Coturnix japonica: one gene and its partners. The protein of the gene in region 3 interacts with the protein of the main gene of each other region in a pairwise test. Links are inferred from orthologs where the notes say so. Each region holds a gene or a part of one and is shown on either strand. Other genes may lie near its edges.

What was found.
Region 1: the proteins of NCK2 (region 3) and PIK3AP1 interact in binary tests that used the Homo sapiens proteins (3 or more experiments, as listed by UniProt). The two-hybrid records come from large-scale screens. The link is inferred for Coturnix japonica from reciprocal best matches to the Homo sapiens genes NCK2 and PIK3AP1.
Region 2: the proteins of NCK2 (region 3) and PAK1 interact in binary tests that used the Homo sapiens proteins (3 or more experiments, as listed by UniProt). The link is inferred for Coturnix japonica from reciprocal best matches to the Homo sapiens genes NCK2 and PAK1.
Region 4: the proteins of NCK2 (region 3) and ABI3 interact in binary tests that used the Homo sapiens proteins (3 or more experiments, as listed by UniProt). The two-hybrid records come from large-scale screens. The link is inferred for Coturnix japonica from reciprocal best matches to the Homo sapiens genes NCK2 and ABI3.
Region 5: the proteins of NCK2 (region 3) and NCKIPSD interact in binary tests that used the Homo sapiens proteins (3 or more experiments, as listed by UniProt). The two-hybrid records come from large-scale screens. The link is inferred for Coturnix japonica from reciprocal best matches to the Homo sapiens genes NCK2 and NCKIPSD.
Region 6: the proteins of NCK2 (region 3) and MEOX2 interact in binary tests that used the Homo sapiens proteins (3 or more experiments, as listed by UniProt). The two-hybrid records come from large-scale screens. The link is inferred for Coturnix japonica from reciprocal best matches to the Homo sapiens genes NCK2 and MEOX2.
Region 7: the proteins of NCK2 (region 3) and CPSF6 interact in binary tests that used the Homo sapiens proteins (3 or more experiments, as listed by UniProt). The two-hybrid records come from large-scale screens. The link is inferred for Coturnix japonica from reciprocal best matches to the Homo sapiens genes NCK2 and CPSF6.

The regions. Positions count from the first base shown.
Region 1 is NC_029521.1:14,289,526-14,293,592, reverse strand, and holds the start of PIK3AP1 (phosphoinositide 3-kinase adapter protein 1), read left to right. Parts: upstream 1-1,267; 5' UTR 1,268-1,738; coding exon 1,739-1,751; intron 1,752-4,067. UniProt on the Homo sapiens protein: Signaling adapter that contributes to B-cell development by linking B-cell receptor (BCR) signaling to the phosphoinositide 3-kinase (PI3K)-Akt signaling pathway.
Region 2 is NC_029516.1:172,810,024-172,814,253, reverse strand, and holds the start of PAK1 (serine/threonine-protein kinase PAK 1), read right to left. Parts: upstream 2,801-4,230; 5' UTR 2,747-2,800; intron 1-2,746. UniProt on the Homo sapiens protein: Protein kinase involved in intracellular signaling pathways downstream of integrins and receptor-type kinases that plays an important role in cytoskeleton dynamics, in cell adhesion, migration, proliferation, apoptosis, mitosis, and in vesicle-mediated transport processes.
Region 3 is NC_029516.1:122,011,203-122,015,190, forward strand, and holds the start of NCK2 (cytoplasmic protein NCK2), read left to right. Parts: upstream 1-1,188; 5' UTR 1,189-1,272; intron 1,273-1,985; exon of another isoform or gene 1,986-2,263; intron 2,264-3,988. UniProt on the Homo sapiens protein: Adapter protein which associates with tyrosine-phosphorylated growth factor receptors or their cellular substrates. Maintains low levels of EIF2S1 phosphorylation by promoting its dephosphorylation by PP1.
Region 4 is NC_029542.1:3,004,010-3,007,955, reverse strand, and holds the start of ABI3 (ABI gene family member 3), read left to right. Parts: upstream 1-1,146; 5' UTR 1,147-1,295; coding exon 1,296-1,406; intron 1,407-2,317; coding exon 2,318-2,485; intron 2,486-2,899; coding exon 2,900-3,076; intron 3,077-3,652; coding exon 3,653-3,735; intron 3,736-3,876; coding exon 3,877-3,946. UniProt on the Homo sapiens protein: May inhibit tumor metastasis. In vitro, reduces cell motility.
Region 5 is NC_029527.1:6,669,894-6,673,393, reverse strand, and holds part of NCKIPSD (NCK-interacting protein with SH3 domain), read right to left. Parts: intron 2,969-3,500; coding exon 2,881-2,968; intron 876-2,880; coding exon 247-875; intron 1-246. UniProt on the Homo sapiens protein: Has an important role in stress fiber formation induced by active diaphanous protein homolog 1 (DRF1). Induces microspike formation, in vivo. In vitro, stimulates N-WASP-induced ARP2/3 complex activation in the absence of CDC42.
Region 6 is NC_029517.1:25,764,175-25,768,277, forward strand, and holds the start of MEOX2 (homeobox protein MOX-2), read right to left. Parts: upstream 2,801-4,103; 5' UTR 2,404-2,800; coding exon 1,893-2,403; intron 1-1,892. UniProt on the Homo sapiens protein: Mesodermal transcription factor that plays a key role in somitogenesis and somitogenesis and limb muscle differentiation. Required during limb development for normal appendicular muscle formation and for the normal regulation of myogenic genes.
Region 7 is NC_029516.1:32,114,225-32,117,724, forward strand, and holds part of CPSF6 (cleavage and polyadenylation specificity factor subunit 6), read left to right. Parts: intron 1-94; coding exon 95-240; intron 241-756; coding exon 757-930; intron 931-1,296; coding exon 1,297-1,801; intron 1,802-3,034; coding exon 3,035-3,127; intron 3,128-3,500. UniProt on the Homo sapiens protein: Component of the cleavage factor Im (CFIm) complex that functions as an activator of the pre-mRNA 3'-end cleavage and polyadenylation processing required for the maturation of pre-mRNA into functional mRNAs.

The DNA of each region.
Region 1 (4,067 bases), on a different chromosome or scaffold from region 3:
ACCCTGCTATGTGGTCTGACCTCTGTGGGCAATTGTGTGGGACAGATGTTAGAGCAAGGAAAAGCAAGTGACACGCCTTCCTCACTGTCAAGTGCTGCTTTAGTCAGTGCTGTATTGGAAATGTGGTGGCGGGCAAAAGAGGAATCCTAGGACTGGAAGCAAAAGGTCATTGGGTTATCAGCCATAGGGGAAATGGAGGGAATAACAGAAAACGTGATGAATTTTCCACCCTTGCTCTGGAAGTCCGTGGCAAAATGGTTTTTATACTGTAGGGTGGGTTAAGTAGTGCTGTTCCTGTGTGGAAGGTGCAGATCACGCTGATTTCTAATGAAGAACAGGCTCAGCAAGGCTCAGCTTTAGCTTGAATTGAAGTAATGAAATCTGTTTTCCTTTGCACAAGCTGCTGTGCATGGAGCTGCAGCCTTAAATGAAGACAGAGAGCCTGACTTGCAGAGAGACGACCTGGCTCTTCCTCAGTAGCACAATGAGGCCCTTCTTTTGCTTTTTCCCAACCCACAAATTCTTTTTCCATACACTAAAGTGTATCTTCTGGCACTTTTTGGTTCCTAGTGTGTCTAAAGCGTCCTGTTGTAATCTGGTTTTTCAGGAGGAGGTTGTTGTAAAGTGCTGAAATGGTGCACAGACAGTTACTTTGGGGAGGCACATTAATTTCATTTGACAGGCTAAAGGGATTTCCTGTGTTCTACATTGATGGAATCAAATGGCATCCCAGGTGACACTGATGTACATGGAGAAATCCCATGGATTCTCATTGAGCAAGAAGATGGCATTGTTAGCTGTTTATATGATCCTGCAAAGCTTTCAAGGGAGAAATGATGTAAAAGCTGGTTTCAAAGTGCATGTTTAAATCCTAATCTGACACCAGAGGGATGATTTTGAGATATATATATATATTACTTTGAGATTAAATGGATTTGCAAGAGAAATAACGGTAATCATGGAGCATATACATGTTTGTCCATCTATTTTTACTTCTATCTGTTTCTGAATATGTGAGTATTATTCCATGATATCCAAAAATTAGACCAGCTTCCATCTGGTGGACTTCTGTCCTTTATAAATGTTGGATTCAGTAGCTTCCCATTTCTCCAGCACCCAGATGGTCTTTATTCCATTGCACGTACTCAGAATTCATTTGGGCACTGGTGAATCTAAGGGCACCGAGGTATGTTCATATGTTCATCACTTGTCCTCTCTGGCTCTTACGTTTTCCACCTTTCCTGTTTGACAGGTGTGACTTTAAGCACTGTACCATCTCTTTGTTATTACCACTCCACGTTCACCTGCTCTCTTCCCGCTGTATCAGTCTCTTTGGTTTCCATCCCTCCTAATCCTCACTGAGCTGGAGTAGCTTTAGCTGGAAGGAGGAAGAGAGACACTGTCGAATTGTCTATTCGAGGGGATCCCGGAGAAGACATAAGCGGTCGTCCTAAACGCTTGCTTTGGAACGGTAGCTCCGCAGCATTCCGGCACCTGGGTTTTAAAAGCGCTGGAAAGTGAAAACGAGCGTTGTTAGAGCAGGAAGGAACGGCCGGGGCTCAGCCTGTGCCCTGTTAGCACGAGCAAAGACCTGCCGCCGTCGGGGCTGGAGCTGCGCTCGGAGCGGCCCCGGGGGCGGTGCTGCCCGGCGGGGGGCGGGCTGCGGAGCGGGGCTCCGGACGGGCCGAGGAAGTGACCGCGGGACACACGGCGCCGTGCGCTGCAACAGCCCCGGACCATGACGGCCTCCGGTAGGTGCTGCGGCAGCACGGTGGGGACCGGGGGGAAGCGGCGGGAGTCGGTCGGGAACGGCAGGGGAAGCGGCAGGTGCTGCTGCGCGGGGCGGCAGCGGAGCGCGGAGGTGCCCGTACCCGCAGGTAGGGCGGTGCTGCCGGCCGGCAGGAGGGGAAGAGGAAAGGAGAATGGCTCCGGGAGCGCTGGGGTCGCGCAGGCGGCGCTGCTCTCGCTCGGAGGCAGCTAACAGCAGGTGATGGGCACTGCAGTTTCTACCCCGCCTTGCTCCGCTTGGCTTGTAGTCGCTGGCAGAGCTGTGCTACTGAGTGTTCAGCCGAGTAACCTGGCCCTGCCGCGCACCGCCTCGGTGGTGTCCTGCGATGTTCTGTAGAGAAGGCAGCTCTTCCTAAATGTTGCTTTATTCCCCACCGTTTGCACGCTCTCTCTTTGGGGTACAAATCTGCTGCCTCTTGCCGCAGTGCCACCGGTCACAGGGTGTGCTGAGCTGCTGTCCGTCTTAGCTGACGTGCGCAGATAAAACTGCTTAAAGTACACAGGCAAACTGCAGAGGGAGATGGGGTTAACCCAAATTGTGTAAGTTCACTAGTGCCCATTCTGCAAGTTCCCCCTTTGCGGGGAAGTGTCTGCAGCCTCACTAAAAAAGGGAAAATGTGCCGTTCTCACAGAGTGAAGTAACGGCACCGTTTCACTGACGCGTATCTCCTTGTGATGTCAAATCGGCTACACGGGACCTCTGGAGACCTGTGGGGAAAACTGCTTTTGTCCTTAAAGAGAGATGGTTTCACAAAGACTCCTAAAAGTAGAATGACTGTAAATTCACTTATCGTAATGCAAATCTCATGTGAAGAACCTCCAGCAATAGGGAAAAAATGTGTCTAGTTTGGTTCTGTTTCCTCTTGCTTGTTTGCAGCACACTGAAGTGGAAGATTTCTATTCTGGTCAATGTGAGAGGTGTCAGTAGCCTGTTAATAATTATTGCATGTGATCACTGTTGCTTTGTCATGCATTCCAGCTAAGAGGAGAACGCATTTCCTCATATGTGACTTAAATACACACACTGTAGACACCAGAATATGAAAGTCACTTGTGTCAGTGTCCCACCAGCAGCTTCTAACGTCCCTTGGAAGATCGCTCATTTAAGAATTAGATTTTTAAGGCATATTGGGTTGAGTTTGATTGATATCATAAGGATGGTTTTTTTTCATAGGGAATGCATCCTCCTGTATTGAGGAATTGGACGCTGTTGTTTGCTTTTATCTTCTGTATGCAGACATGCCAGAGCAAATAGATGATAATGTAGATAACAGATTATGTATCACTTCTTCATTTTGTCAGAATTTGAGGCAGGCTTGACCTAGCAGATGAAAATTGACTTACTTGCCATGACATTCAGTCTTCTAAGATGGTGGAAAAGATTTGTCTGTAAGTTATTTTTACCTGTTGTTGGTCTGTGGACCCCTAGAAGGCATGGCCTGCATAGAATGGGGTATAAAAAAGCGGCACAGAAAAGCTATGTATTGGTAGAGATCTGGAATTTGCTTTACAAGGCAGACAAGTACAACATAAAACTACTTACGGTCCGTAAATCAAAAAGGTTAAACATTTTGGCTTGTGAAGTGAAGCAGTGGTTGATTGAACCTATCAGATTCAGAAGTGTGAAGTGTTAAGTGGGCAGATGTGATCTTACCCAGCTCTGATCTGCTGACTTCCTGCAGTGTGCTGTAGCTATTTCACTGCTAACCAGAATCTTCCAGTGTTGCCATGAACTGTTTATTCTAACTCTGTCTATTCCAACTATTCTAAACTCAGAGATTGTCACCTCCCTACTCCTGACCGTGGTCCGAAGAGGATTCATTCTCAAAGAGAGGCTGTGAAAAGCCATGATGCAGTCTAACCTTTAGGATGCTTTTAGTCTCCCGACACTGACTTCCTTTTATTCTGACTGATACAGTGTATCCCTTTTAATTTCACATGCATTTCAACAAGTAGGAAAAGCTTTTTATCTTGTTCTTTTTCGGTGTCGTTTAGTTTGTGGGACTTCAGCCTCACTTAGAGATCTTAAGTATTTCTGGTTTTCTAGATCATAATTTCATCAGTTTTATATAATTATATCATTATATACAGCTAAGCACCGAAGAGGGAGTTACAGCTGGAAATGAGTGCAAAGGTTGTATTTTATCATTGCAAACTGCAACAGAACTGTACTTGGATGATTTTCTATGTAATAAATAATCAATCATGCCCTGCAATATTGTTAATATTGCTGACGTTTGGTAAGCAAAAATTGTTTTCCTACTCTAAACTTAGGAATG
Region 2 (4,230 bases), about 51 Mb from region 3:
CACTAAACCACGTCCCTCAGTACAACATCTACACGTTTCTTGAACACCTTCAGGGACGGTGACTCCACTACCTCCCAAATGATGATAAATTATATGTCCTGTAAGAGCCTTTTCAATTCTAATGAATAAAAGTCTGGTTAGCATAAATAGTGCTGGGCTGTTTCAAGCTACCTATTCCTAAAGAGCATCACATGCCTTTTGCTCAGGAGGGAAGAATTGATCTCTGTGCCTTACGTGCTGCATCACTGAGCATCTGCTGCCAGCCCCAGCCCTGCTCCCACTGGGAATGGGGCTTCAAAGCACCTCCCCCCAGGTGAGAGATGCGCAAGTCCATATTGCCATCAAGCCCCTTGCCATCAAGCAAAACACATTTACATTCTTCCCAGTTCCTTACAGAGGTTGAAAGCACAAGCACAGCTCTTGGGCAAGCACAGAAAAAGGCACAATACATTTCTGACACATAGTATTTCCCCTTCCCAAAGAGGTAAAAAGCCAACAAGAGAGATTTTTGTATGCATCAAAGGGAAAACAATCGGCCAAGACTTAAAGACAGACGGCTGATGTTTACAGATGCTTGGTCTCAGTTTGTTTTCCTATACTTCCTCATAAAGCATGGTTGTTTCTCAGACCCTTTACGAAGTCTATTTACTTCTGTTATCATGAGCTGTTGACAGGATGGACTGTAAACCCAGATCACTCGAAGGGTGGAGCTCAGCATCGTTTCTGTTTTGCTAACCAGAAAAGTCTATTTTTATAGGTGTTTCAATACACCCAGAAGAATGTAATGGAACTGGGCCATCACAGCTATGGTTACAAAATAATGAAACTATCCACACCTATGAAGTGAGACAGGTACAGAACAGACTGAAGCCACACTGAAGCTCACTGGTGTCTTAAGTTAAACAAAACCACTTAAGAAACCAGGTGAAATTCATGCACTTGCAGTCAAAGTTCTGCACACAACTGGGAAAGGATCCACAAAAATCAGCAGATCTCTGGGGCAAAAGAATAAGTTTGCATTTCCAGTGCAAGCAAACCAGCCAGAAAAGCAATAGGCAAGCAATATATTTTATCACAAAACCATAGGATCATTTGAGTTGGAAGGGCTCTCTAAGGGCCATCTGATCCAACTCCCCTGCAATGCATGGGGGCACCCACAGCTCCACCAGGTGCTCAGAGCCCATCCAGCCTGACCATGACTGCCTGCAGGGATGGGGCACCGCCACCTCTCTGGGCAACCTTATATCCAATCTAAATCTCCCCTCTTTTAGTTTGGAACCATTTCCCCTTGAGAGATCACAACACAGACTGTTAAAGAGTCTCTCCCCTTCTTTCTTATAGCCCTTTTTCTGCCTAATCCACAGAAAACACAGAGGGAAAAGTAATGTCTAACCACCCAGTGGACACACACCATGAGCTGTTCCACACGGAGGAGTTCTTCAAGCCTTATACATGAGCAAGACGAAAGCACCCACACAACAGGAAGGCTCTTAGAGCAGCAGATATGATGATGTTCCCTGATGCACCAGGCAACACCAGGAAAACTCCAGGTAAGGAGAATGGGGAGGTGGTTCAGTGAAAGGTACCGGTGAGTCACTGTACAAAGAGTAACTGCAAGCAAGGAGAACAAACACTCTCCCTCCCGTGCCCAGCACAGCCATTTCACCAGCTACAATGTCTGCTTTCACTTTAAAAAGCTTGGCTAGAACTAAACAGCTTCTACAGTTGTTCTTACATACGCACACAGTGTACTTAATCACCACCTAAAGTACATGCTTTACAGCTGGTAACAAGCAAAGAGCCAGGTCTTGACATCTATTTATTTATAAATCTTGCTGCTGGAGGTAATGTCTGAGTTAAGAACCAAGCAATGCCCAGCAGGAGCAGATGCACCGTGACACACACGCGGATGGAGCCAGCTCTTCCCACTAATCGTGGATTTTAAACCCTCTGGATAACAAAAGCAGCAAGAGAGCATGGATTGCAGGCACGGGAGAGATGCGGGTTTCCAAGCACTGTGGAAGGGACGAGAGTTGCTCCCCCCCGCCCTGCTGTGCTCCCTTTCCTTCGGGCTCCCAGGAGCACCCAGAGGTGCCACCCAACTCGCGAGGTCTCCTCGCTGCCGTTCGCTCCCCGATCCGAACCGGAGGGGCTCGACCGTAGACCTAGTGAGGTCCCTTCCTATCCGAGTCGTGCCACGATCTTAAGTTCAGCTTCGCTTTTAAGATCTTGAATAACAACAGATCTCATACACGCACACATGGAACGGGGGGATAAAGGAGAAACACGCTCCCACGTCCGCATCCCTGCGATACAGCCACACACAAAGCCCGGGGCTGCATTACCCAGCAATGGGCCGGCTCCTCAACTCTTTGTGTTCACCCCCCAGCCCCTCCAGCCGCAGCCAGCACAAGGTGCGGGCTGAGCCCCGACCTCCCCCACCTCAACCTCCGTCCGGAGACCCCAAGCGGCTTTCGATCGCACAGCCCGAGGCTACAGACAACACCCTTTGTTAAATGAATGAGCTGGGAAAGCAGGAGGGAGGCGATCTCAATGCCGTTCCCCCCCCCCCCCCCCAAACCTCTTTCTTAAATTGAATGGAAAGGGGAAGGGAAAAAAAAAAAAGAGAGAGAGAAAGAGAGAAGAAAAATAAGAACCCAGCCGCTCATCCTCTTTACAAACTTTCCAGTTACAAAAAGAAAAAAGAAAAGATCGCGGAGGAAATCCCCGGCCCAGCAGCACTCACCTTCCGCCCGCTGCAAGGTGCCGCCCGCTCTCCGCCCTGCCCGCTCCCCGCGGCCGCCCGGCGCCGCCTCCCCGCACCCTCCCCGCTATCATTGGCTCCGGAGGGGTCCAGGAGTCCGCCCCCTCCACCAAGGTGGGCAGCCCAAGGTTGGGGGAGAAGTTTGGAGCCGGTGTGTTGTGTTGGAGCTTTGGGATGGGCTGGTTGTTCGGTGCCCGGTGCTTATAGAGCACGGGGTTGGTGCGGGACTGAAGGATGGTTCGCGATTATGGTGATAAGGCCGAGGGGAGGGGATGGCCGGCTGTAGTGACTTGGTTTCTGTTCTCGGTATCTCAGAACCGGCTCCATTAGGGACCGTGTGGCTCGCAGATCCAAAAAAGGAAAGAAGGGAAACTGGCTCTGCCCTGCTGCTGTGCTGCACAGCAGGATGTGCGTATCGCAGGGATGTTACCTTATACTGCAAGAGATGGGGTTTGTCCTCCCCCACGATGCAAAGCTCGCTGGAAACTTGTCCCCGTAGTTAGCAGGAGTGTTCAGCACCGCGCTTGTGCTCTGCTGGGAGAGAAGAGGTGGGGTTTGATCACAGGCATTCAGGAAAAGGAAACGGTGAGGCTGTCTAGACAGAGATGTCAAACGCTAAGTGGAACAGGTAGATACATGGGAGGCAAATAATGCAGGTCACCACATCAGACCTGATCTTACAGAGTCACAGCACGCTCGTATACAACAGCATTGCACAGCCTTGCCCTTCCCTCCTGTATCAGCGTTTATCAGTTCCCCTGATAAGTTTGTTCAGGAGCTAATGAATCCGACTGAAATACACAAATAGAGGAAGTGAGAACACAAGGAGTGGCAGGGAAGGTTGGAGTGCAGCAGGGCTGATTTCAATCAGCTTAACCTGTTGCTGAACCACATGCTCAGTTACTTCCCCCTAGATATGGGAACCCCCAGGTACGTGGGAGTCGTGCGTGATCACTGCAGCGAGGAAAACTGCACAGCTGAGCTCAGATTCCATAGCTGCAAAGGAAGCACACAGAGCTGAAGTTAGAACTGAGCACAGCTCCCTTTCCATCCCACACCGAGTCCCGAAGAGTGACTCTTTCTGTACTCTGAATAAGAAAACCTCTTAAGAAACAAGGATGCACCCTGATAGTTTTGAAAACAAGTTTGAAAACAAGCCAGGTGAGAGACTGGTCCAAAGTACTCCTAAGGGTGCCCTCTCTGAAAGATATCTGACCAAACACATTTATCCAACCCCATGACAGTGATATGGAGAATGGTGATGGGAAGTTACTGGCAGTGGTTGGCCTAAGGCCTGGCCCACCATCAGCCCATGGATTGCTCCAACAGCCCCTGCTATGGCTGCTGTTATATTTGTATCACAGCAGCACGGAACAACCAGAATACTGCACTTTAATTAGAAGCATTGTAAAGCAAAAAGACTTTGTCTATGCACAGGTTATCTTGGTTCAGAAATCGTTTCACTT
Region 3 (3,988 bases):
GGAGATTAAAACTCCTCCAAATCAAAGTCAAATGTGAGCACGAAAGGAGCTGAAAAGAAAGGGGCTTTCCGTTCCTCCCTGAGGTACACACTTAGTCTTTCGTGGAAGAAACAAGAGGCCACATTTTCCTTTCAGTTTTATCTAGCAGGCATGTGAAAGGCAACTGAGGCTTCCGAAACCATCAATTAAATGCTGAAAGAACAGGTAGAAGTTTGCAAGGAGAAGAGGGAATTATTCACAGACTTCTAAACTATTTCAAACCAAAACACAGCAAAATCTCAGGATATGTATTTTTGTAACTGGTTGAAAGTTGGTACGAAGTTCCTCTCCATTAAGTTCCATGTTAGTTGGGGAAACAAGACAGAATTTTGTTGATACTGCTAAGTTTGCTTTGGGTTTGTGCATTTAATAATGAATAATGAGCTAAAGCCTAAACCAGCACTGGTAGAGCTCAAATCTCTTCATTAAGAGAGGTTTGTGTTGAAAAGTCAATTGTTTTACAGTGTCTCAAAGTGACTTCCTCTTGCAGCACTGATTTTTCCTTTTTGAACTCCCTGATTGCCTCCACAAGGACAAACCCTTCCAGTTCCCAATCTGCCAGTGGCACAAAGACACATAGTGGGTTAGCACAAGTATTCTGCCCTTGTGGGGCCTCATCTGTAGTATCATGTCCAGGTCTGGGGCCCTCAGCACAGGAGGGATGTGGAGCTGTTGGAATGGGCCCAGAGGAGGGGCATGAATGTTGTCAGAGGGCTGGAGCACCTCTCTTACAAAGAAAGGTTGAGGGAGCTGGGCTTGTTCAGTGTGGACCAGGCTCCAGGGAGATTTCATTGCAGCCTTTCAGTATTTGAAGGGAGCTTACCAACAGGAGGCAGATCAACTTTTTGCAGTTTAACAGTGACTAGGCAAGTGGGAATGGTTTTAAGCTAGAAGAGGGGAGATTTAGGTTAGATGCTAGAAGGAAATTCTTTACACAGGGGATGGCGAGGTGCTGGCATTGCCACTCAGAATAGCTGTGGTGCCTCATCCCTGGAGATGCTCAAGGCCAGGTTGGATGGGGTGCTGGGCAGCTTGAGCTGGTGGGGGGCAGCCCTGCCCATGGCACTGGGTGGGGTTGGGTGGTCTGTGAGCTCCCTTCTGACCCAAGTTATTCTATTCTTCTGTGACACAGGGCTGCGGCTGGAACTGGGTCCCACAGCACTACTTGATGAGGCCGCAGGTTGAGTCAGTCCTTCATCCCACCATTGATTTTACCCTCAACATCAGCTTTTGGTAAGTCATCTTGAAGACCTTGTGGGAAATACTGGCTTTCAGCACTCATGCCTGGCAAAGTTGTGGAAGCTTCTCCCTGGAAGCATTCTAGGCCAGGCTGGATGGGACTTTGAGCAACCTGGTCTACTGGGAGGTGTCCCTGCCTACAGAAGGGGGTTGGGACTAGATGATCTTAAAGGCCCCTCCAACCCAAACTATTCTGTGATTCTGTGCATGGAGTGGCACAGCAGTTTTCCAGAAGGGCACAATCTTGTGGCAGAAGCTTTCTGCTATGGGCAGAAAGCCAACAGCTCTGTAACTTCAACACAAAGGCTGCCGAGGGAGGGGGGTGCTGAGATGCACCTATGGCTCACACCTGCCCAAGGCACGCAGCAAGGGACTGAAGGGGACAGTTTCCACGCCGGATGCCTTCTCCACACGGACAGCAGGTAACAGCCCCAGCACTAGCACCACAAGCGGGTTCCCCCCGTTTCTTTGAGCACTTTCCCCGGAGATCTGGGAGGCACCCCCAGCCCCCAACCGGGCCGGGCCTTCCTGCTGCTGGAGGTGGGGGAAGGAAGGGCGGGGGCGGGCGGAGGAAGCGCCGGCACTCCCGGAGCGCGAGGGGGAGCCCGGGGAGCTCCTCCCGCGCGATCCCGGCAGCGGCAGCGGCAGGAAGGGCAGGGCGGGGGCGGGGGCTGTGCGAGGTGGGGGCCGGGCGGTCGATCGGGCGGAGGAGGGGCCGGGGCCGCCGCCGGCTGAGGGAGGCGAGGAGCGGAGCCGCCGAGGGCCGGGGCCTTGGACGCGTCCGGAGGAGGAAGAGGAAGGGGGGGAGCCGGCCCCTCTCGGAGCACGCAGCCCGCATCCGCTTGTGGAAGGGAAGAGGGAAGCGGAGGGGGGGGGAGCGAGCGAGCGGGTACCGCCGCCGAGGAGACAAAGAAGCGGAGCCCGCCCGGGCTGGGAGCCTCCCCGCGCCGCTCCGCCCCGCTCCCACCGGCCGGGCCGGGCCGAGGTGAGCGCACCCCGTGGGAGGGCGGGACGGGGCCGCCGCAAACTTGTGTCGGCCGTAGGGGACAGGAGGTGGGGGCAGGGCGGAGGGGGGTCACCTGGGCGGGGGCTCCCCGGGGAGGGGGCAGGTGGCGGCGGGGGGTGGTGAGGGAAGGGGCCCGGCGGGCTCCTGACAGCCGCCGCTTTGTGTCAGCGAGGGGAGAGCGGCACAAAGGAGAAGTTGGCCCGGGGAGGCGGAGGGGTCCCTCGCAGCCGGGGCACGGCCGGAAAGTTTTGCGGTGGGGGCGGTGTGCGGGGCAGTGCGGGCACGGGCTGACCCGGGGGCCGCGGGGAATATTCTGGTAAGCGGCTGCCGAGGGTTTTGTCGAGCAGTGGCCGCTTAAACGGCATCGAGCTTTAAACAACAAAAAAAAGGAAAGAAAAGGAAAGGGGAAAAAAAAAAAAAAAGTTGGGATGACACGTTGCGTGCCCAGGAAGCGCGTCTCGGGGGGTTGGGGTGGGAATTGGCTCTTCCTCTCCTCGCCGTGCCCTGTGTAGGAAGCTGCCCGAGCACGGGGAGCTGCCAGTCCTCTGTGGAGTTTGCCTCCTCGGTTCTGCTGGCTCGGGGTTTATTTTTACGGCTTTATGGCTCGTTGTGAGCATCAGAGTTATTCTGTGAATTGACTGAACGTTGCCGTGTTCTTTTGTTAGCTCAAAACTTGAGCGAACTCCGTTCCTTTTGTGTGCGGTGATGTGTGTGCTCCTGAGAAAGTGCTGTGGCAGCCGCACGTTCTGTGCGGGTTCCTCACATGGAACACGCCGTTGCCCTTTATAAAAACAAACCTCCATGGTTCAGCCTGTGCATGGCTAATGTCATCTGGAGCCGGGCATGGAGGCATTCAAAAGGGCAGAGCTCATGCAGGGCTTCTTTCTGAATGCGTTCCTGCCCCTGCTTGTCAGCATCAGTACCGCAGAGGAGGTGTTTGTGGTACTGTGTGTGTGTTCGTAGGACTAGAGCTGGAGCGAAATCACTTTGTGACTCACAGATACTGGTATTTTTCAGCTCTGGAGTTGAAGTTGGGTGTCCCACCCTGGTCAGCATCAGCAGCCATGTCCTCATATCTGACTTTCTCCTTGAAACTTAGCCAGGCAGTGTTGCTTTCGGGAGCAGTGCATAAATGCAGACATAGGAGGCACCTGTACTGCTAAGATCACAGTTGTAATTAGCTAGTATCTGTATGTAGGCCATGAAGCAGATCTGGTCTCATTATACCATCAGCTCCCCTCGCAGTTTTTCTGTCAGTGTATGGTTAGCTGCCCCTATGAGCCTTTTACTTCTGCAAGATAGTGTTTCCAATTGCTGTTACAGTTACCTCTTTTGCTGTGTTCCTCCAAAAACAGGAGCAGAGTTAGTCCGTGGTTGTCTGGACAGTCCCTTATGTTAGTCCTTATTGTTAAATATATAATCAGTTCAAAGCTCCGGCCTTTGCCTTGTTTCTGTGCTGAAAAGGGAACTCATTCCTTTTCTCTCCTTCCTCCTGTTTTCTCCCTAGTTTCTTTCCTAGCTGTGTGGTAGCGTTAAAGGTGTTTGCGCTCTTATGTGTCACCTCTCATGTACTGTGTGCTAAAGAAGAGGGACAAGGTCAGCAGCATCTGCTTTGTTTCCAGGCTTTGCTATTTATTTTTTTTTCAATTTTCTTTTTTTTTTTTTTTTCCTTCTTCTGTGTGTGTGTGTGTGGCTGCTGACATG
Region 4 (3,946 bases), on a different chromosome or scaffold from region 3:
CTGTATGGATGAGGGGCTGCCCCTCTCACTGCTGGAGATGTTCAGAAACCCATCGAGCTGCCGTCCTCTGTGTCTGCACTGTTCTGTTTGAAGACTCCTTTGGATCTCCCAGCCTGTAGCAAGGAGCAGATGTCTTTGGTCCCTAAGCTGATAATAGACTCAGAAGAATAAGCTGGTCAGGTGTTGGGCATTAGCCTCAAAGCTTGGGGTAATCAGTGGTGGGGCCATAGGGGAGGGTGAGGGAGGAAGGGCAAGGGTGGAGATGAGCTTTGTGGGGCACTCAGCAGCCCCTGAGCTCACACTGTGTGTTTTTGAGCCTATGTAGGCCTGGGGCCTGGCTGGGGGAGCAAAGGGAGCATCCCTTTCTCCTATGGGATGGAATGGGGGGGGCAGGAGGCAGCTGGGGTGGCTCTTGGCCATTAAGGGGGTGAGAAGCAGAGCTGGTTCATCATTTCCCTCATCCTCACCTTAATTGCTGTGGGCAATTATGGACATTTGGCTCTTGCTTTGCCCATGTGAAGCCCTAAAGCTGAGGACAGAACTCAGGAGGCCCCAAGGAAGCATAAGGAGGAGGAGGTAGAGGGGGATTCCCAGCATGAGGGACCCTCCCAGTGCTGGGAAGTGAGAGTTTCCTGCCCTTGGCTGTGGCCTCTTGCACTGTCCTGTGCGGATGGGAAAAACCATTAGCAAAGCACAAGGAGGGACGTGTTGTCCCAGCAAACAGAGCTAAGCAGAAACTGATGGCTGCACCCAGCCTGAGCTGGGTGAGGTGCAGGCACGGGGCTGTCTGGAGAAGATGAGCTGGCAATGGAAGCATCACTCTGGAGCTAGATCTCCTCCTGCCAGTCCCATAAAGGCAAGGGGAAGGGAATTGCCCTTGCTGGGTGCAACAGAGCCAGGCCTGGCCCCCTGCCCCCCAGGCTCCATCAGAGGATGGAGGTGCAAGCTCCAAATTACCAAATTTGGGCTGTCAGGAGCCAAACTGCAGCACTGACCTGGAAATGGTGCCCTACCCATGGCCATGCTGCCTTCAGCCTCATGAAGAAGCCATACTCCCTTGATGGGGCTGGTTGAATTAGAGGGGGTGAGTATGGATGTGTAGAGCAGTTGTAGGCGGCCTTGCAGCACTCCAACAGCTTTCAGGTTCTACCTGCAGCCTCCAAACCTCCACCAAGGGAAGCTGGGAGAGGTGACAACCCACGGAGCATCAGCAAAGCAATACGTCAGCATCACCGCGAGCTTCAAAACTCGGCGCCTTAAAGACTGGGGAGGAAGTGGGCTCCGGTCCCAGCGCTATGGCGGAGCCGCTGCAGCCCTGCGATGTCCCCGCAGCACGGCAGGGACTGCGTGATAACCACAACAACCTGCAGCGTGTGGCTGAGTATTGCGAGAGCAACTACCTGCAGGTGGGGTGTAGGGATGTGTGTGGGGCTGGGATGGGTTGGGGGGTCTGTGGTGGTGATGGGGAGGATGGTGTGGGGGTGAAGGCTTTGCTGTTCCCATTCATTTCCTGCCCAGCATTGAGAGCTTCTCTCGTGCCTCAGTTTCCCCTCTGCTCAGCCATCAGGGTTATGTGTGGGACATTGTGGGGGGGGTCTTCTGGGGTTTTTTGGTGCTGGAGGGGAGCAGGGATGGCAGCTCAGGGTCTGGGAGGTGCTGACAGTGCTCACTCCTTCCCAGCATAGGGTGGGCAATGGGCTCTGTGCTGTCCTACTCCCCCCTGTCCCTGTGACCTGCTGAGGGGATGGCAAAGGGTTGGTTTGGCCCCATTGGCTGGGAACAGTGCCCTGACCGGGGGTCTCTTGGGTGCTTTAAGGATCCCACCTTGGTAGCCTCATTCCCCCATGGCAGACCCAAGGGAGTGGTGATGGTTGTTCCCTCACCCCATCTGGGGCTGTGAATCTGCACTCTGTCCCATGGCCGGGCATTGCTGCTGCCTCAGTTAAGCATCATCCAGGGCTGGGTTGTTTTCTCATGCTGAAGCTTCTGGTCGGTTCACAGCCCCCCAGCTGCATCTCTGAAGGGGAAGCATGCAAAACAGCTCAGAGAACTGAGACTGCTTCCCCAGCTGCTGGCAGCGGGACTGGAACAGTCCCAACAGCACAGACCCTCCTGATCCCCTCTGTGCTTCTCCCACTGCACCCTGATGGTGCTGAGCATCGCTGAGTCCCACTGCCTGAGCTGGAGGAACTGTGATGCATTTGGAAAGCAGAAGGAAGCCCCTTTGCTCCCTTGTGACCCTGGTTTGGGTATGACGGCGGCGGCACTTTGTGCTCTCAGCCATCCCAGCTCATCACAGCTGTGTTTCACCCTCCAGGCAAGCGACAAGAGGAAGGCTCTGGAGGAGACGATGGCTTTCAGCACACAGTCCTTGGCCAGTGTGGCTTATCAGGTCAGCAGCCTGGCCACCACCTTCCTGCAGCTGCTGGACCTGCAGGCAGCCGAGCTGCAAAAGCTGGAGGCCAATGTCAGCTGTGTAGCCCAGGTGGGTCTGACCTCAGCCACTGCCATGGGTCTGTACTGCTGTGGGGTTTCAGCCCTGAGAAAGGAGCAGCTTACAGGGACTGGAGACCAACTTTTCTTGTGGTTTTAATGGCCTGTCAGCCCCTGCAGCACCTTGGTCACCCAAGAAGCTAAAGGACAAGACTACCGAGGGGTGGGAAACTGTTCTTAAGGGCTTGTCTTAGTCTGGGTGTTTGGGGACCATGGCAGCCTCTGGGGAAGCCCCCAAGGAGCTACCCTGCAGCAGTCACATAGGCTCAGATGCTGTTATCTCCCCTCGGTGGACACTGGCCTCGTCCCCTTGGAGAACTAGGGACAATGACTCAGAGCCCTGCAGCCACTCACTTTCTTCCTGATATTTGAGGGCTCCTTAGAGCCTTTCCTGCTGCCTCCACAGAGCGTTGACATGCACAAGGAGAAAGTATCTCGTCGGGAGATCGGCGCTTTGACCGTCAGTAAGAGGTTCCCATCCCACCAGAAGATCACATCCCCCCCCAACCCACCCTCCCTAGAGCCCTACTACAGGAAACCCCTCAACTTCAGCATCCTGGATGACATCGGTCACGGCATAAAGGTCAGCCTGGAGGGTGTCCCGTGGGTAGATGGGGGTTTAGATGGGCTTTATGTGATCTGGTGGGGGTACAAACCCCTCCTGGATGGAGAAAGGGGGTCTGTCTATGCTTCCTCCAGGACTTGTCCCAGTGGGGCTCATCTTGGTGCAGGAGGGGAATGGGACACTGACAATGCCATAAAGGCACACAGTCCCAGAGTTGCTTGGCTAAGGCTGAGTTGCATTACACCCACAGTGCTGTTCCAGCACTGAAACTGCCCCTGTAAGCTGCCCCCTCACCGGAAGGCGTCTGTGGGTTTTCAGCAGCATCAGAGCCACGTGCACAGTGTGAAACCGCTGTGGAGTCGAAGGGGAAGTGACAGTGCTGGGGCTGCAGTTCCCACGGTGGCAATGCCAGACAGCAGCACCAATATCTGCTTCTATCAGCACCAATATCTACTTCTATTAGCTGGGGCAGCCCCTCACCACCCCCCATCCTTTTGAGAAGGGTTCAGCAAAGGCCTTTGGGGCACTATAAGGGCATGGTAGGCATGGAGTGCAATGAACTTGTCATGTGTATGTGTTTTCTTCTGCCTGCAGGATCACAGCACTCAGCTGTCCAGGACAGGCACACTGTCTCGGAAAGGGATGAAGATAACCACACAGTCTGCAGGCACCATGGGGTGAGGCTTCTGGGATGGTGTAGAGTAGGGAATCTTTAGCTTGGGTGTCACTGAGCAGGGACAGAGCCATGGGGTGCACTGCCCAATGCAGCTGCCCTCTGTGTCCTGTCAGCATGGGCTCAGTGCCTGCTCTGTTGGCAGGAGGAGCACTCGTGTCCCTGAGCCCATCCAGCCCCCCGTGGTTCCCGAGGGAAAGCTCTCTGCAGCTTCA
Region 5 (3,500 bases), on a different chromosome or scaffold from region 3:
ATCTCCCCAACTAAGGCATAGGGCAACCCAGATGCACTTTGCTATTTTAACAACTGCTGCAGGAAGCATTCCTTCATTTCCCCCCTTGAGTGCCTGTAATGGAGGAAGGAGGAGAATGTGATCGTTTGGTACAAGGTTTAGAACAAGGTTATCATAATACTCCTCCAGTGGAGGAACTTCTATTGTCCTCACTGCACTACCCCAACCCTTGGCACCAGCCAGTCAGCAAAGCTCTGCATGTATTACCTTACTCTCCACTACGGAGATGAGGATCTGCTCCATGATGCCGCTGGTTGCCGGGACCAAGGTCTGGATGTGGCCGATGACCACCCCAATGGCCACACGTGACAGCTCATAGCTGAGGTGGGTGTTTCTGCGGACCAACTCAATCAGTTCGGCACCTATGGTCTTGGGGACAGATGCCACCAGCCCACTGGGTTCTGGAGGTACTGGCTCCACCACAGCAGCCTTCTTATCTTCGAGACAGAGAGAGCTGAATGATTCCAGGTTTGTGGGGGTCGCTGCTGCAGCTTTCTTGCCCTGCAGAGTCTTCTCCCCATCTGCAGCATGGGACCTCGGGGCCCCCACTTCAGATGGTGGTGCTGGGGCAGCTCGTTTGGTCTGAGGGGATTTGCTGGCTCCATCCTTTGGGGAAGATGTGTAGCGGGAATGGGCTGCGGGGCCGGTGTCCAGGTTGCGTGTGATGGTGGTGTGCACACTGCGGCTGGGGACGGGTGGAGGTGTGGTGGCAGGGCTGGAGGCAGCCGTGGGCAGAGCTGCATCTGAAGCAGAGGAAGGGGTGTACAGGGTGTCCAGGGACGTGGTGCTCACCGAGGAGGCACTGGAAGCTGACCCAGGGATAATTTCCACGGCATCTGAAAGAGAACAATTAAAATGCCTTAGCAACAGCATCAAAGGGAAAAAGAACAAACAAATTGCTACAGCGCAGTCCATTAAAAGGCTCATTGTGCATGCACCAGAGCAGCTTAACTCCTCTTCCTGCCTCACTTATCTCAAAGCAAAATTGTACCGAGTTCCCTCCGGAGCATTCCCACACAATCACCTCTTTAGAAGGGGGAAAACTGCTCTATTGAGATGAATATCCTTCAAAGGGCTTAGTGTTTCACACCCGGAACGGGAGGGAAGAAGAAACAGGACTAAGGGACAGAAGAAGCCTTCTCCCCATGGCATAGCAAGGGCCTTTTTCCTGCGCTCAGGATATGAGCCATCACTTTGAATACCGGTGCCTGCAGGATGTGTGCTGGCACAGGCAGCTGTCAGCATCTCCCTCCTGCCCAGACCTCTCCCTGTGGCACTGACTGCACACCGCAGCCAGCACCGACAGCAGGGAAATATTTGGCTGACATGCATCTGTAGTTCCTCCTTCTCAGCACTCCTGAGCATTCGCTCACAACCCCACAGCCCCACTGGCACACGCTCCTCTCACAAGCCAATGCATTTTCTGCTCTACTTCTACGTGCTTCTCCAGCAATGCCTCACTCTGTCTGACCTTCCTAGGAAAAAAAATCCACTACAGCCAACCAAAGAGACATTGAGATTCTTCTTTCCCAGCATCCAGGCTAATATACACTTGTACCAAACTACGCCCAGTATCTTTTGGGGGCAGAAACATAACTGAGCCCTTCCCTGACTGTGAAAATGGACATTTACTTGGGCAGACATTGGGATGTCTTCACCCAGGGCTTGGAGAGAACAGCTAACGGTGGCTCTAGTGGAGCACAAGTGACAGGGAGCCCAGCCCTTAGGGAAGGCAGCTTCACTCTGTTCAAGTGTTCCTGCAGCCTCGCAGAGTCTGGTTCGGGTTTGTTGGTAGGTCTTTTGTTTGTTTTTGATATAACTGCTTGTCCCCAGGAAGCTCCCCTTACCTTCGCGCTACACATCTTTACCCAGCACCAAGTGAGTGACTGGCAGGACAGCCCTGCAGAGCACCTGCCATGTGTCTCCCACTGAGCAATACATCCTACAGCCAACCCCAATTTCCTGCTGCCCTTTGTTTCTGGAGGCCACTGGGAGGAGGAGCATGAGCTGTGCAGAAAGGCCCCCTCCCTCCCATGGGGGCTCAGCATCCCTCTTTCTCCTTCCTCTTCACCCTGTTTCATTAAATCAAGATAATGAGTTCAAGGGAACTGACCTTTGCAAATTCCCACTACTACAGTGAAAATGACTCAGTATCATTAAGGGAGCCGGTGCCAGCCCCAGGTTTCCATCAACTATATACAACTCAACAGATCCATCCTACTTCCCACAGGGGAACATGGGTGAGTTTGACATGGGCCATGTGTCATCAACCACATATATCCATCTAAGCACAGAAGAGCAGGTGGGCATGTTGGCAGTAAGTCAGAGCATCGCTGCTTGTTTCCCCTCCAGTCCCTCTGTGCTGAGGGTGGGGAAGCTCCTGCACTGGCCCTGTGGTCCAGCTCTGCTCAGAGGCCCTGTAGGCAGAGCACACACAGCTGTGCCCTTGGCATTATTTCTGCTTCATACAGAGACCAGCTGATTCGGTGGAAATCTCATCTGACCACTGTACAAATAAAGCGCATGATGGACTGGGAGCCAAAAGCAGACCTGGGCCTGTCCCAGGAGCACTGCCAGTGAGCTCCCCCTGGTGAAGCAGTGCACTTAGCACAGCCCTGATAAAGTCCCTTTGCCTGCCTGGAAAAGCTCCACGGTGCTGCAGGAGAGACACAGCCCCACTGCTCCCATGTTGGCCAAGCAAGCCAGGCCAGCAGGCAGCAAGCCTTGTGCTGCATTCTCAGGCAGGAGGACGCCTGCCATACCTGGATGGCTGTGCCAGGCTTCCAGGGCCCTTGCAGCAGCAGGACCACAAAGGTTTCTCACCCCAGAAGTCGCCCTTACTTTTCAGGGGTGCGGCCATCTGTGCGTTCTTGCGTTTCTCTGGAGGTGGGGGGGTGATGGGAGCAGCACGTCGGGGCTGCGGCGGGATCTGCAAGGAGAGATTTCACAGCAATCAAAGGAGGCAGGCAATAAAGACATTCTGTTATGAAACCTTCTTCCTTGCGTGCGTAAATCTGCCCTTACATCTCTCTCACCGCTCTGGGAAGTTTTCTCAGGAGGATGGATTATTAATAGGCAGTTTCCTAGAAGAACAAAGCAGGGCTCACACCCGCTCCATCCCCTCCCCGTGACAGGAGGAGCAGCCCTTGTTTAATTGCTGCGTTCAGCAGCACACAGCACATGTCGTGTAGACCTGTCAAGCATTTACTCCTCCTTTCTTCCCAGCACAATCCCACACACTCACTACGGCTTTACATTACTCTCAATAGCTCCACAGAGGCTGCAAACAGAGCGCGTATTTAGGCACTCTTCTGGAGAGATCCATTACATCAGCCACAAATACCCTTGCAGAAAGACAAAGCCAAGGACTGGCGATGTGTAAATGCCTTTTCCACACTCTCATTGCTATTCCTGATAATGCAGGAGGGAAAAAATAGGATAGACCCTCTGTGCAATTCTAC
Region 6 (4,103 bases), on a different chromosome or scaffold from region 3:
AGGGAGTGATTTTTAATCTAATGAGGGGCGATTATGGATTACAAATATAGAAATGCAGCGACTAACAACAGTTCTTGCTGCCATACATTAGGATGGCATTAAGTAGCATCAGAGCTTAGGATTAATAAAGGGGTGGGGTTAAATGGTTGGTCCAAAATTCTGCCTTTTCCTGAAGAAAAACCAAAGACATTGGAGCTACCCAGCTGCTGTCAGAAGGTGCCTATTTTCAGTTTGTGAAGTTCCTCATTGTGTGAATGGACAGAACGCTTTCTTCCTCGGAGAGAGAAGGGGGCAATCAGCAGTTAACTACTTTGGTCTTCTGAAAGTCTCAGAAAGTGAGGTGTGTAGCACAGTGCTATCAATGTAAGCACAATCGCAACTTGATGTTCCCACCCGTGTCCACTAAATCCAATGGAAGGCTGCAGTCATTTCAGGATACAATCTGTGACATTCCTCAGTGTGTTTTTTTGTATGCATCACAAAATTAAATAAACAGAAAGCAATACGGATACTTCCCTGTCAGTGAAAGGGACCCATTTCCTTTTTTTCCCTTCAGCTTTAAGTACACTGACAAATACAATAAATCCCTACACCGACAGGCATTTTTCAGTAGTAACAGGGACTCAAATTGTAGCACTCCCCATCTGCCGCACAAAAATCTGACAATTCCTTTTATTTCATAAAGCGTAAGGAAGATGCAATGATGGAATTCACCACCGCTGTTTGACAAAGTACAGCTTTCATTCCTGGAAGACTTTTCAGCCCGGCTACATGAGATAAAACTCAACTAATCCTATCTTGAATGACAAAATTAATTTATTAATGTAATAATGGTATCCTTTGGGGTCATTTTCCTAAACGGTTCCAATCGTCCACCACTCTACTGAGCCAACAACATTTTGGCTGCAAGAGGTCACGGTTTCGATTGGGAACTCCACAGCTCTGTGGAAAAGCCTTTCACTTTCTCTTCCTTGATAATATACAATTCGCTACGCCCGCTCAGGAGCTCTCAGAGCACCGAGTCCTTTCCTTCCCAAGTGCCCACTGCCCCCTCGCTGCATCCCTGACGGCCCTTTGGTTTGTGTGTGCTATCTTCACATCGCCTGCACCGCACGCCTTCGGTCAGAGCTGCCCATGCCAGGCTCAGCCGGCTTAAGCAGAGATTATGTCAAGGCTTTTGCGCGCTCAGAGCTCCTGAATCACCCTCCTAAAATAACTGCGGCTCTATATGTTTTTCTGCTCGTCTTTAAGCAAGAGTTGTGGTGTTGTGAAAAGTCAGACAGCTCCTTCCTTCCCTCCGCCCCCGGTACTAGCAACTTTCTAAAGCTTTCAATCACCCGTTTGGCCTACGGACCCCAGTTTTCTCCCCTTCCACGCCGAGGACCGAGCTGCACGCACGGCCAGATCCTACGCACGGAGCGCAAAAGCTTCGGACCGTCCCGTGCAGCCCCACGCTGCGATCTCCCTCTTCAGCGCCGCGATGCCGCAGCCCGCGGTCAGGGCGGAGGCAAGGAGCGTGTCCCGTCCCCAGCTTCGAAGCAGAGGTGGCGGATCGGCAAGAGGGAGGGGGACGAGGGGCCAGATGCTAAAATCCATTCCGAAACTACGAAAGCTCTCGCCCTGTCGGATGGAAACTTTCCTCCCGCCACCGCCACCTTCACTACTTCATGCGCTATCACGTGCTGGATTTTTCCTTTTTATTTCTCCCCCCCCCGCGGCCCTAATAAAGCTGCCCTTAATGACGGACATCCCGAGAACGCGGCCGAGGGCAGCCCGGTGGCAGCCCCGCTGCAAACGGAGCAGGGCCGAGCCGAGACAGCCGGGGCCCTGCAGCGCAGCTCCCCGACACCCTCCGCCCGGGGTTCCCTCCCCGCAGGGAAAGCCGCCGTTACCTGAGCTGTCGCTTTTCCTCTTCCCAGATCTCTTCTCCGTTTCCACAGGGGACAGAGCCTGCCTGCCATAGTCCCCCGGCGCACACGCTGCCCCCGTAGGGGTGGTAGTGCCCAGGCTGGAGGAGTTCGAACACAGCACGGGGGGGCTGCTGCCCAGCTCCGGGGGTCCTCCTGAGTCCGGCTGGAGGCAGAGGCTGTGCCTGGCCGCGGCGGGAGGAGACGACATCTGAGGGATGTGCCAGTTCGTCTGCAAAGCCTGGTGCTGCTGTTGCTGGTGGTGGTGGTGGTGATGATGGTGGTGATGGTGGTGCCCCCTATGATGCTGGCTGGCAAACATGCCCTCCTCATTGGGGTATCCCGTTATTATGCAAGAGGAAGAAGAAGAAGACAGATCGGGGTAGGACATGTGGTCGGATCTTCCATGCAGGGCAAGAGAAGACTGGGAGAAAGGGTGCAAGCTCTGCGCGGTGGCATGGGGGCTGCGCAGGCAGCCAAAGAGTGTGTGATCCATGGCATGCAAGTCTCAGGTTCCAGGCAGGAGAGTTTAGGAAGGATCCAACTTCACCACCCTTTGTCAACTTTCACTGTAAACAGATCGGGGCTGGGATTTTTTTTTCCAAAACGGCAACGACCGACTTTGCAGCAGGCGACTGAGCTCAGATAATCCAGGTCTTTAGCCCTAGCGGCCAGTCTCCGCTGCATAAACACTCGGACCTAGATGAGCCTTTCTCAGAGCCGCTCGGATGTCAAGAAGTGGGAGAGGTTGAAGCCAATAGAAGGTGGTCCCAGAGAACTGCTTGAAGGGGGAAACGGCTCCGAGAGGTTATAAATACAGTAGTGTGTAATGTGAGCTGGGGGCTGGCTTAGCGGCACAGCACTGACCACATGCAAACTCCCTCCAAAACGCCAGCGCCGTCCCCGCGCCGAGCGGCTCCGGCAGCGGGCGGCAGCGCTGCGCGCCCCGGGGGGGGGGGGGGGGGGGGGGGGGGTGGCCGGGGGCGGCCCGGAGGGGAGCAGCGGCTTCTCCTCCCCCTCGACGCGAGGAGCGCGTCCGCCGCTCCGCCGGGGCTGTCCGCTCCCCCCTCCGGACGGATGCGGGGCGAGGCGGGGGGCGTCTGGGCCCCATGGGGCCATCCCCGCACCGCACCTCTCCCAGAAGGGAGCGCGATAAAGGACACCCAGCGGGATGTGCACAGGGGCGAAGTGTGGGAGAAATCAAATACACCTGGAGGGCGCGGGGCTGCAGCCCCACCTGAGCTCCCAGCGTACCTGGGCACGGCACGGCCCGGCTGTGCGAGGCTGTTCTGCCTAGCGCAGCCCCGCAGTCACCTCCGCGCACACCTCGCCCTTAAGGACAGGAGGGACCACCAGTGCCTGTGGGTCTACAACTAAACTCCCGGCGCTCAGCGAGCCGCCACGTGTTTTCGAACACAGACAAGTCGCCCCTTTTGCCCCTCCAAAAGCGCAGTTTACCCAACTTCTCTGCTTCTCCATTTGCTACATTGCAGCCTTTATAGTGGGACAACCTGGAGAGGGACAGCCCGGGCTGCGCGTGTCGTGGGATTAGCAGTAGCGCCGAGGAAGGCTGTATACGGGTTTATATTAAGATAAAGCGCTTACAGAACGCTGCCCAAAGAGATGCCCGCTGCCGAAACGCTGAGTTCCTTCTCCCTTTCTCTTCGCTCTACCTTCCTCGTCCTCCCCGCAAACCAAACTTGAAGTGAAAAGGAAATAAATAAATAAATAAATAAAAAATAAAAGGAAAAAGAAAAAGCACCGCGCTCTGTCATTTCAGTCTAAACTCTTGGGTCCATGTGCGAAAGATAAAATGAATTCGAATTGCCATTGGAAAAAATCAGGAATTGTATGAGATTTGCAAGAGCTGGTTTCTTAAACGGAAATTGAGTCCTATTTTGTGGGAAATTAGTTTTGCAGACTTTCTGGGGGAAAAAAAAAAAAAAAAAATCTAAAACTTTTGTTCAGCAGCTGCTCCGCTTTTCCTTGCAGTTTCAGGCTGAGCTGGAACCTGCAGCAGCCTTTCGACGGTAAGACTTTCCCCCCTTTTCTGCCATCTAATGCTTTTTAAGTATTGTCTCTAGATTTAACTGTAATAATGAGGTCTTTAAAAAGGGAGCGGCGTCCAAAGCAGAAGTCGCTGCCTCCGTGCACTGTTCAAAACTTGATATTTCTTCAGAATAAAGGAAATATACA
Region 7 (3,500 bases), about 90 Mb from region 3:
TTTGCTCACTGTGTTAAGTGTTTATTCATGAGGCATCAGGATATCCAGGAAACAAAAAAACTGCAGTGTAACTGTTTTTTTTTCTTCCTTTCAGGTTTGCCCTTGTGGGTGTGGGATCGGAAGCATCCTCCAAAAAGTTGATGGATTTGTTGCCTAAAAGAGAACTGCATGGGCAGAATCCTGTTGTGACTCCTTGTAATAAACAATTTCTGAGTCAGTTTGAAATGCAGTCAAGGAAAAGTAAGTCTCTCTCTTGTGCCATCTTGGAAAGATTGGAAGTTTATTCCGGAAGTTGTCCTGCAGTTCTTCTCTCAGTATCTGATAATTTCTGCACAGTTAAAGATTTCTATATAAGTATTAAGTGAATGAAGTTGCAGCTTTGTTTTAAAAAAATTAAGTAGAAGATCCCCTTAAAAACTGAAAACAAAACAGTTAATTCAATGTGTTTTTATGTCTGTGGTTTTAATAGGAGAAATTGCTGGAAGTGCTTATTATGCAGCTTTGTAAGACTCTTCTTAAGATTGGAGAAGTAGAGGTGCAGCATTTGTAGGCAGATTAGACTAACTTAATGGACTGAGTTTCTACACTTCCATTCTTGTGGTGTGGGGATACTGAAATGCTGCTGAATCTTAGCAAAGTGTTTTTTCCTTTGTGGTACTGGGGATCAAGGTGATGCTTTAGTGCTACATAAAACTTTAGAAGAATTGAAAAGCTTTAAACTATTTTGATTTACATAATGACATTTTTCCACTGCAGCCACACAGTCTGGCCAGATGTCTGGGGAAGGTAAAGCTGGTCCTCCAGGAGGAAGCTCAAGAGCAGCATTTCCACCTAGTAATAGAGGGCGAGGCCGTTTCCCAGGTGCCATTCCAGGTGGAGACAGATTCCCTGGACCAGCAGGGCCAGGAGGGCCACCACCACCGTTCCCAGGTAAAATACTGAATGTGGAGGGTTTCAGTTTAATTTTTATTTTCTTTTATTAATGCAGTATGCTTATTTGGGAATTACAAAAATTAAGGTCAGTAAGCAGGCACATAGAATTACCAAAAACTTGAAGTGGTTGGTTCTGTTTTCAGGTTAATGTTCTCTTTCAGTATAGATAACCAGTTATAAATATATCTAAGATACTGGACCCAAAAGTGGAGCTCTGCATGTGTTGTGCAAGATGTGAATTGTTCAGTGAAGGCTTTTTGTCTGAGGAAAAAAAAAAAAAAAAAAGGACAAGATCTTAATTATTTTTGTGACTCTTTTATTTCTTCATGTTTATTAACTTTTTATTTATTTATTTTTTTGTAGCTGGACAAACTCCCCCACGTCCACCCTTAGGCCCTCCTGGTCCACCAGGCCCACCAGGCCCCCCACCTCCTGGTCAGGTCCTCCCACCTCCTTTAGCTGGACCTCCTAATCGTGGTGACCGCCCACCACCACCAGTTCTGTTTCCAGGACAGCCTTTTGGTCAGCCTCCTCTTGGGCCACTTCCTCCAGGCCCTCCACCTCCAGTTCCAGGCTATGGGCCGCCACCGGGTCCGCCACCACCTCAGCAGGGTCCACCTCCACCTCCGGGTCCATTTCCCCCTCGTCCACCCGGCCCTCTCGGGCCACCCCTGACTCTCGCTCCTCCTCCACATCTCCCCGGGCCACCTCCAGGTGCTCCACCTCCTGCACCACATGTGAACCCAGCTTTCTTCCCCCCACCTGCCAATAGTGGCATACCTACTTCAGACAGCCGTGGCCCACCTCCAACAGATCCATATGGCCGACCTCCACCATATGACAGAGGTGACTATGGGCCACCTGGAAGGTGAGTATTTTTGGTGTTATATGCCGTATGGCAGACTTTATTCCTTGTAGGAAACACAGGATTTTTTAAAAACTTTTTAATGCAAATGTTAGAAAAAGTAAACAAGGGGGAAAAAGCAAAACAAAACAGCAAAGCTGGAGGGGATCCCTGCAATCATGAGATTTGCCCGTTCGCTTCTTAGTGAATGAACTCATAAGTGTGTTTGTAGCAGTAAGAAAACCTTAAAATGCATTGCTAGTAATCTTGCTTTCCCTTTTCGGCTTTGAACTGTTTGTGTACATTGTTCACAGTATCATCATTCTGTGTGTTCTACATGCTAACTTATATCACTTCCTGCCAGTAGCTTCTGGTTGTGCTGCTGTCATAACTTGAAATTCTCACTTGTCCCTTTGCCATCTTGCTTTGCAAGCTGTCATTGTAAAATGCTCTGGTGTTCTCTTTGAATATGTGCATGTGTTGAGGATGGTGCCACACCAAGCTCATGTCATTTTCATCTTCTAGCAGTTCGGCTTGTTCCTTTTTTCTTAAGGGTTCAATTAAAAGTTAGCTTTTGTCTCAAAAGCTGAGTGGGAATTTATTGCAAGACTTTTGTTTTGCTTTCCTGTTAAGCTACTTGTAATTTTGTACAGTCTTTCTGTGTTTGTAGCAGTGGCCTTTTCTGTAGTTAATCCAGTCTGGGTCGGGGTTTTTGAGTCCCTCTGACTTGACTAGTGAAGCGTTTCACATCTTGTTTGAAACAGCTTTTGCATTTGTGCTTTCAAGCATCTGTCATGCCGCTGTTGTCTTCATTTTCAACATACTTTCACCATTCCTTAGAACTTTTGGGGTCTAATTTTAAGAGAGATACCTTCTACGCAGTTACGTGTGAATTTTTCATTTGTGATTTTACTGATATTGTTGAGAGAGTCTTCTCTTGCCTAAAGTGTTTCCTGCAAAGGCACTTTGATTCTTCCTTTTACATGTGAGCACAAAGTTGAAAAAAACCCCAACAATTGTACATACTGTGTTCCTATAGAAGTTGTAGAAATTCAAGCATTTGGCTTAATTGCCTGAGATATAATAAGGTGCTTTGTGTTTTTTGATGGACAAAATCTAAGTTGTCTGCAGTTTACAGAATGGCTGGGGAGGGAAGGAATGGGGATAGGACAGAATAACTTCTGTCCACTATTTTCAATAAAAATGTTAAGACTATCATCCATAACTATTTAAATTGTCATTAATTATATATCATAGGCGTTTCACTGGAAATAACATGTCCATAAGAGAAAAATTACATATTCCATTCTATGGGAGGCACACGAAAAATAATACTCAAAACTCAGGGAGGTATGAATTTTTAGACATTTCCTCTTATGCTAAACTGGCTATAGGATCTTGTTCCACTTCTTGCACTTAAGAGGATAGTATTGCTTGTTATTCTGCGTTTTCTTTCTACCAGAGGAACTAACACTGTTTTAGAAATATCAAGCAGTGGGTCAATTTGACAGTCTCAGCTTTTGTCTCTAATGCATTTCTTCAGATATTCTATATGATTCAGAGACTGGCTAATAAAACACTGCAAAACTTGTGGGTAATTTTTTGTATGAGTAAATTTTGTTACTTTAGAATCAATGTATAGGATAGCTAATAGTCAGAGTTAAAAAGTATAGTGAGTGCAAGTATTCATTTTAATTGCTTCCTCCTTACTGTGATTGGGAGA